2 linked regions of the Alligator mississippiensis genome follow. The protein of the gene in region 2 interacts with the protein of the main gene of each other region in a pairwise test. Links are inferred from orthologs where the notes say so. Each region holds a gene or a part of one and is shown on either strand. Other genes may lie near its edges. The genes, in order: ZFYVE27 and FKBP8.

Region 1 (3,891 bases), on a different chromosome or scaffold from region 2:
GCTGCGGATCACCTCGTTCTTGCTCAGGAAGCCGTTGTCCGGGAGGTCAAACTCTACCGAGCACTGCGAACTCTCGTCGTCCTCCTGGGGGTAGAGCAGCTCCTTGGGGACAGGCCAGACAGTGCCCATGGGGAACTCCCGCCTGCCCCTGCCCTGCCCACCACGTGCCACCCAGGGGGCGGAGGCTGGGGAGAACCAGTGCTGCCTGGAGCCAGGAGGGCACAGAGGCAGCCTGGCACCATGTATGAGATGCACCTGCAGGGCCAGAGCAGGAGGAGGGGACCAGCCCAAGTGCACCGCGGGGCTGTGGCCGAGCACGCAGGGCCCCGCGGTACTCACCAGGCCCAGCAGCTGGTTCTCCTGCTCCCGCAGCATGGGTCAGAGAGGAAAGGCAGAGATGGGTGGGGCAGCAGTGGGCACCAGCACATCCCCCAGCACCAGGATGCACCTGCCTGAGGCAGCAGCTGTGGGCCCAGCTCACTCCTGGCATCGCCTGCTGCCAGACCTGGAGGCAGGTGCAGCACCCCCAGCCCCCACGCCTGGCGCGCGCATCAGCTGCTGCTTGGTGTTAACGCAGCCTACCACCCCACTCCCTCACCTCAATGGCATCCTTGAACTCCTCGTCAGGCTCTGCCTCCTCTGCCTCCTCCACGCTGCCAGGCGTCAGGTCCTGGGGAACAGGTGGCGTCACCAGGGCCAGCCCTGCCCCAGCCCCCAGGACACAGAGCAGATGGGACCCATGCGGAGCCAGGGAGGGGAGTGTTTAGACCGACTCCCAGGATCAGGACCCTAGAGATGTACCATGTCAAGGGCAGGGACCATACCCAAGGTCAGGCCCGGGGGTGAGGGGCGGCGATGACACTGATGTCCTGTGGCACAAGGGTCCCCAAACAGGACATGACCTTGCACCCTTCTCCACCCTCACCTCGGCACTGGTGGGTGTGGGGGTCCGATCCGGCAGGGGCGCAGCTGCCCCAGCACCTGCCTCAATCTCAGCCGGCTGTGAGGTCGAGGGGCTCTCAATGGGCCTGATGCCCAGCTGCTGCTCCACTGTGGCCTTGAACTCCAGCACCACTGTGGGGACAGGGAATCGGAGCCAGGTGGGTCCCGTGCCCAGCAGCCCCCTCCACGATCCCTACCTGCCCCCGTGTTTTACGGGCCCAGGCTGGTAGGGACCACAGGCACCGCACTGCCACCCTTGCCTCCTGGCGCGGCCCCAGGCCACGGGACTGCCCTGCACGGGGACAAGGTCTGGGGGTGTCTGGCGGGGGGGGGGAGGGGGGGCACTGCCACTGGCTCTGCACCCCACCATGGACCTCTGCTGCCCCCTGGTGGGGGCCAGCGACACAGCCGGGCCCAGTCCTGCCCCCCCGCTGCAAACAGCCCAGGCAGCTTCCCCGCGGGCAGCCGGGCCCTGGCCTCGCCCCGAGCCGGGCTCCTACCCTGGTAGAACTCGGCGTTGCCCAGGAAGAGGCTGCTGTTGAGCAGGGCGAGCACCCAGCAGAGCGGCAGCAGGTACAGGACGCAGATGGAGCCCAGCAGCGCGCCGTAGAACCTGGGGGGAGCGGGGGTCAGCACCGGGCAGCCCCCGCTTGCAGCCCCTGCCTCCCCCACGAACCCCGCCAGGGGGCTGCAACCCTGCGGCAGGCTGCGGGTTTTCGGAGGGCTCGGAGCAGCCCCGCGCGTCTCCGGCGCGGCCGGCCAGCGACGACCGCAGGCAGGCGAGCGCCGGGCAGCTGCAGCAGACAGCGACCTGGCACCCAGGCCGCCGAAAGGACGCCCGCGGCCACGTAAGCGTTTCGTCCTGCTGGCGTCTGCGGACAGGGCGCTCCCTCGCTCACCCCAAGGAAACGAGGGGCGAGAGCACGCCTGAAACACCGTGTGGAGCGGGCGCCCCGACCCGACCCGCGGGGCGACTCACTGGGTGGAGGCGGCGCGGTCCTCCCAGCGCAGCACGCGGTAGGCGGCCTCGCAGCGCCCGCACACGTGGCTCAGGAAGGCCTCCAGCTGGATCAGGCTGCGGGGAGAGGAGGGCGCGTGAGGGGCCGCCGCCAGCGGGGCCCGACCCCGCCGCCGACCCCGCGCCGCCACTTACAAGGTCTTGACCTCGGCGATGGCCTCGGAGCGCGAGAGCGGCGCCTGCGGCAGGTCCTGGCGCCGCACGCTGTGGTGCTTCCTGCGCGCCAGCTCGCGCGGCGGCCGGCGCACGCGGCACGTCTCCTGCAGGTAGCCCAGCGCCGCCGGCAGCGCCACCAGCGCCGCGCACACCCCGTACCACGCCGCTGCGGGCCGGCCCGCACCCGCGTCAGCCCCGCCGCGCCGCACGGCACGGCACGGCCCCGCCCCGCCCCGCCCCACGGCACGGCCCCGCCCCCCGCACGACGCCCCGCCCCGCACCTCGGCTGAGTGTGAGCAGCAGGAAGTTGAGGCCGAGGCAGGCGAGGAGCGAGCACAGCGGCTGCTGCCACCTGCGGGCACGGAGGGAGGGCGGGGTTAGGGGGCGGGGCCGGGTCAGCGCCCCGCCCCCGGCCGGCCGGCCTGCTGGCTCGTACCGCAGCAGCGCGCGGGCGGCGCGGGCCGCGTCCCGCAGCGGCTCCAGGTAGAGGCTCAGGCGGCGGCGCCGCGTCACGAGACGGAAGAGGTCGAAGGGCGGCGGCGCGGGGGGGGCCGGCGCGGGCGGCGCGGCGGGGGGCTCGGGCCCGGCCGCCCCCGCCCCCGCCCCCGCCTCCGCCTCGCGCTCCGCCGCCTGCATCCTCGCTTCCGCCTGGCGCGTCACTTCCGCCGGAGAAGGGCAGAAGAGGGAACGGGTTCCGGCAGGAGGGGGCTTCTTCCGCCCGCGCGTGGCGTCAGCGCGCCGCCGCGCCCCCCTCAGGCTGGCAGGACGGAAGTGGGAGCCTCCCTCCGGGCAGCGCCTGGGGCCCCGCCCACTCGCCGCGCGGCAGCCAATCGGGGCCCGGCGGGAGGCTCCGCCCCTTGGGGCATGCAAGCGGCTCGGGCGCGGCTGGAGCTCGCGGGCAGCCTCCTCCCCGGGGGACAGCGCCCCCCCCGCCCGGCGCGGACCCTCCCCGGGCACACGGGCTGGCTGTCGTCGGCTCCTTTTCCAAAGCTAATCTAGACTTAATAAAAGCTTGTTACTAATGAAGTCCACGCTGGAGAGAGGGAGCCGGGCAGGGTAACAACCCCCGGGGCGAGTAGAGCCCTAAACCCGGTCAGGATAGCATGGGATTATGGGGCCAAACCTTCCTGGGCTGCCCCAGGCTTCCCTGGGGGCTGCCCCGAGCAGCCCGACCGACCCACCGCAGACCTGCCGCCCGAAGCGCGGTGTGGCCGTGCCAGGCTGGCCCCAGACACCCGCCCCGACGCCGCGCCCAGCACGCGGGCCCGAAGACAGAACTGGAGTTTAGGCTGGGATGAGAGACAGGAATCCTTCTTGGGCCACGCCACGCCACGCCACGCCACGCCACGCCGTGCCTCTTTCCTGGTTTTGCGTGCCCTGGCACCCCCGGCTGCTGTGCTCCGTACGACTCGAACAGGGAGCTGGTTTTTGGGCTGGGGTTAGAGATGGGAGTCCTTGTTGGGGCACCCACCCCACCCCACGCGACGCTCCCAGAGCGCTGTCCGGCCCGAAGCGCGGTTTGGCTCTGCCACGCTGTCAGCGCAAAGCCCCCCTCCTCCCTCCAGCGACTGTACTAAATGCAATGGCTTGAATAAGGAGCTGTTTTGGGGCTGGATTAGAGGTGGAAATCCTTCTTGGCCACCCCGCGCCATGCCTCCGTGGCACCGCTGGACGCCCCAGACACCCCTGACCAGAGTCCTGCACGGCCCAGAGCGCGGTTTCTTCGTGCCATGCTGCTAAGTGCAGCCCCCATACCCCCCACACCAAGTATAACG
Region 2 (3,891 bases):
CTTCCCGCCGAGCAGCTCCAGGTCAGGGGCGTCCTGCACGGCCAGCAGCTCCACCTCCAGAGTGAGGGCGGTGTTGGGCGGGATGCCAGGGCTCCTGCACGGAGGGAAGGGATACGCTGACGCCGCTTGTGCAACGCGGGGCAGGGCAAGGCAGGCCGAGCTGGGGCTGCAGACCCCCCGGGCCACTCAGGCCCATTCGGCAGCTCAGTCTCAAGCACAGCCGCCCTCCGCCTGGTATCGCTCGCGTGCAGCTGCCCACGCACGAGCCACGTGGCATTAGCGTCACTGTACAGCTCTGGAGACCGGTGCCTCTGGACACACGATGGAACCGGGAGCACGGCAGGCAGGCCTCCCTCAGCTCTGCCGTGCTGCCGGCCTGCAGAAACCTCACCCCACAAAGGTGAAGCAGTGCCGGGCCCGTGACACACACACACACACACACACACACACACACACACACACACACACACCTGGGCCAGCTGCCAAGGGGGCTAATCGGGACAGACCAAGACCAGCCGCTCGCTCCACAGGCCCCTGGGGAGATCCCTCCTCGCAGCAGCTATGCAGGTATCCAGGGCCACACCTGGCCCCGCCACCCCGAGGCCCCCGCAGGGACGAAGGGCCCGGCCAGCCCCTGTGCTCACCTGCCCTGGGGGCCATAGCAGTACTTTGCATCAGACGTGATCAAGGCCGTCTCTCCCATCTCCAAAAGCTGTGTGCACAGGTCTAGCGCCTGCAGGAGCCGAGAGGGGAGAGGTTAGGGGGGCACTGCCCCGTCAGGAGCAGAAGGCCCCAGGGGGAAGCCATGGTGGGGGTGGGAAGGCTGAGAAGCAGTGGGGTCCAAGACATGCTCAGGGCCCAGCTCCCAGACTGCAGGGACAGCCAACAAACGAGGGACCCCACAGCCCAGCACAGGGCATGACGGCAATGGGAGTGTGAGCCCTCACGTCCCTTCATCAGCAGCCCTTCTCTTAGCAGGAGCAGCGGAGGGCAAGGGGCGCTGCGGGGCAGGAAGCACCAGGCGTCGGGGCAGTGGGCAATTAGACTGGACGTGGCAGCGGACGGGCTCCAGTGTTCCCATGGCAGCAAACCGGGCGGTGGGAGCCGCCGACACCTGGGCCAGGCCCTGCCCGGCAGACCCCTCTCTGCGCCGTCCCCAGGCTCCGTGCAGGGCACCGCGCTCACCTGCAGGACGTCGCAGTCTCCCAGGGTGAAGGTGAGGCCAGGGTCCTCCTCCACCACGCTGCCATCCTCCAGCATCACCCTGAGCCGCACGGTCACGACCTGGCCTTTGCTCGGCCGGCTCTCCATGCCCCGGCCGGGCACCAGGGTCTTCTTCTTGAGCAGGCCGTTCCCTGGGCACGGAGGGGAGGCAGGAGAGGGTGAGCGAGATGCCCGTGCCACTCGCCTGCCCTCACCTGATCCCCGCACATTCACACCCTCGCTCAGGAGCGAGCCCCACACTACAAGGCACTCACCCAAGACGTCCAGCCACTCCTCAGCTGCCGGTGGCTCCTCGCCCGCCCCCTCCCCAGCAGGCTCTGGCCCCGAGGCCTGGACGCCCTCCTTGCCGGGTGGCGCCTTCCCTTTCCCGACATCTTCCAAAGGGGGGAGTTCACTCAGGTCCTCCTCGTCGTCATCTAGCACCTCGAAGTCCTCCCTGCTGTCCAGCATGGCGGCGCCGGCCTCGGCCTGGTCGGGGGAGCAGCAGTCCAGGCTGGCGTCCGCCCAGTCCAGGGGGCTGCTGGCCGGCTCCTCCCCTCCGGAAGCCATGGCTGCGCGGCACGAGCGACCTGGGGAGGCAGGAGGAGAGAGTTGGGTTAGGTCGGAGCGAGGCGCGGGATGGGAAGAACTTGGAGTTCGGAGCCAGGCTGCAGCAAGGGCACGCGGCTCTCAGCCCGCCTGGCTGCCTCTCAGTCTGCAGCGCGGACCGGAGCGGCGCGGGCCGCGATTGCAACACGAGCGACTGGGAGGTTGAAGCGACTCCACCAAGCGCTGGCGCAGGCAGCGTCGCTCCAGGCTCGGGGACCCGTCGAGACCCCCCGGCTGCGACCAGCGACCCCCCGCCCCACAGCCAGGAGGCTCCGAGCCCGGCAGCGTCCGACGGGGCACACGCACCGCCCCGGCAGCACGAGAAGGAAAACGTGCCGGGCACCAGCTGCGCACGAGCAGCTCCCGCCAGGCCCGGACCCCTCGCCGCTCCGGCTTAGGCTGCGATGCGGCGCAACGGGAAGGCGCCATGCAGCTGCCGGGCAGGAGACCCCCGCGGGGCAGGCGGCGGGAAGGGGGGCGTGAGCAAGCAGCAGACCGGTTTGGGAGGGACCGGTGGCAGGGGGGGGGCTCCCCTGCACCCCCCTCCCCGACCTGGCTGGGCCCCCCCGGGGCAGCCCCGGCCCCCGGGCGCTTCTGGGGCAGGTTCCCGTGGGGGGAGGGGGTCCCCTGCCAGCGCCCCCGGCCCCGGCCCCGGCCCGCAGCCCCTCCCCCGGCCACGTGCGCCGCGACCCCCAGCACCCACCGGTCCCGGCAGTCAGCTGCTCGGGCCCCGCCCCCTTCTCCTCCCATTGGCTCAGCTGATCCCAGAGCGCGGCTGCCATTGGCGGGCGGGGGACACTGTCACGAGGGAAGGGGGGGTGGGTGGGTGGAGCCGCCTTAAAGGGGCCGTCGCCGCTCATGGGGCAGCAACAGGTGCGAGACCCAGCTGGTTCCGGAGCCGCGAGAGGACCCCACGCCCCCCCACCCCATGATTCGTTGTTCCACGTCTCTATGCCGCTTTAATGCCCCCCTCCCCCCCCCAACCCGCGGCCGCCCACGCCCCGCGGCGCTGGACACGCGTGAAGCCCCGCCTCCTGGTGGTGTCTCGCTACCTTCCGCCACGCCCCCGCGGGGGACGCGAGTCGGGAGGACCGCGGGCTAGAGCGCCGCCTGCAGGGGCGGCCCCGTGCGGCGTGGCGCGGCGCGCTGACGTCCGAGGTCACGCAGGCGTGACCCCTGATCCCGGAAGTGCGGCTCCAGCCCCGGGCCCCCACGAGCTACCCCCGTGCCGGGCGCCGCCATGTGAAGGCCGCGGGGCTGGACAGGTGCGCCCGCAGGAGGGGAGGGGCAAGGCCCGGGTTGGGGGGGGGCAAAGGGGCGGGTGCTTTGCCGTGGGGGGCTGCCCCGTGACGCCTCCCCGGCCCCCCGCGTGTCCCCAGGCGGCCGCCGACGGGGCGATGGAGCCCACGGCCTCCGACGTGTTCTGCAGCCGGGTGCTCAGCATGGTGAACGCGGAGGACGTCAACGCCATCATCCTGGCCCAGAAGAACATGTGAGTGCCGGGGGGGGGCGCCCCTGCCTGCTCCAGGGAGGTAGGAGCCCCCGCCGGGGCAGCGCCCGCCCCGCGCCCCGAGGACGCACCTTCGAGGCCTCGTTCAGTCCGGGCGGGCGGAGGCAGCCCCGGGCGGGGAGGGCGGGAGGCGGCGGGGGACAAGCAGGGCAGCGCTCGGCGGGGCCGTGACTCGCCCCCGTCGCTGTAGGGCAAAATCAGGACTTTAGGTGTCTGCCTCGCCTCGTTACGCTGGCTTGTCTCCGGCCTTTGTTTCTCCCCCTTCTTACTTCTTCTGGTTTTTTTTCCCATTTTTCTGGTAACTTCCCCCCTCGCTAGAAGCTAGTTTGGGCTGCGATCTCGTTCTGAGACCTGCAGACCGAGAGCAACGATGGTTTCTTGGGGCACGAACCCGTGTACGTGGCTCGTCAGGCAGAAACGCAGCCGTCAGAGTTTCAGCGCCGGTTCGAGGACGGGACGGACCGTTGCTTTCTTGCTTTGCTTGGGGGGCTGTGTGGAGCTAAACGCGGAGAGCCTGGTCTAGCCGCGTTTCGTCTCTGAGAACGTGTGGACAAATTCTGCGTGTCTCC

What was found.
Region 1: the proteins of FKBP8 (region 2) and ZFYVE27 interact in binary tests that used the Homo sapiens proteins (3 or more experiments, as listed by UniProt). The link is inferred for Alligator mississippiensis from reciprocal best matches to the Homo sapiens genes FKBP8 and ZFYVE27.

What each region holds. Positions count from the first base shown.
Region 1 is NC_081829.1:100,729,629-100,733,519, reverse strand, and holds the start of ZFYVE27 (protrudin), read right to left. Parts: upstream 2,768-3,891; 5' UTR 2,753-2,767; coding exon 2,553-2,752; intron 2,469-2,552; coding exon 2,398-2,468; intron 2,283-2,397; coding exon 2,096-2,282; intron 2,018-2,095; coding exon 1,922-2,017; intron 1,556-1,921; coding exon 1,443-1,555; intron 1,075-1,442; coding exon 926-1,074; intron 671-925; coding exon 599-670; intron 361-598; coding exon 340-360; intron 103-339; coding exon 1-102. UniProt on the Homo sapiens protein: Key regulator of RAB11-dependent vesicular trafficking during neurite extension through polarized membrane transport. Promotes axonal elongation and contributes to the establishment of neuronal cell polarity.
Region 2 is NC_081839.1:1,088,210-1,092,100, forward strand, and holds the start of FKBP8 (peptidyl-prolyl cis-trans isomerase FKBP8), read right to left. Parts: upstream 2,610-3,891; 5' UTR 2,595-2,609; coding exon 2,516-2,594; intron 2,434-2,515; exon of another isoform or gene 2,119-2,433; intron 1,794-2,118; coding exon 1,479-1,793; intron 1,356-1,478; coding exon 1,186-1,355; intron 734-1,185; coding exon 645-733; intron 95-644; coding exon 1-94. Other genes in the region: KXD1 (kxDL motif-containing protein 1), read left to right, coding at 2,775-3,077, 3,192-3,304. UniProt on the Homo sapiens protein: Constitutively inactive PPiase, which becomes active when bound to calmodulin and calcium. Seems to act as a chaperone for BCL2, targets it to the mitochondria and modulates its phosphorylation state.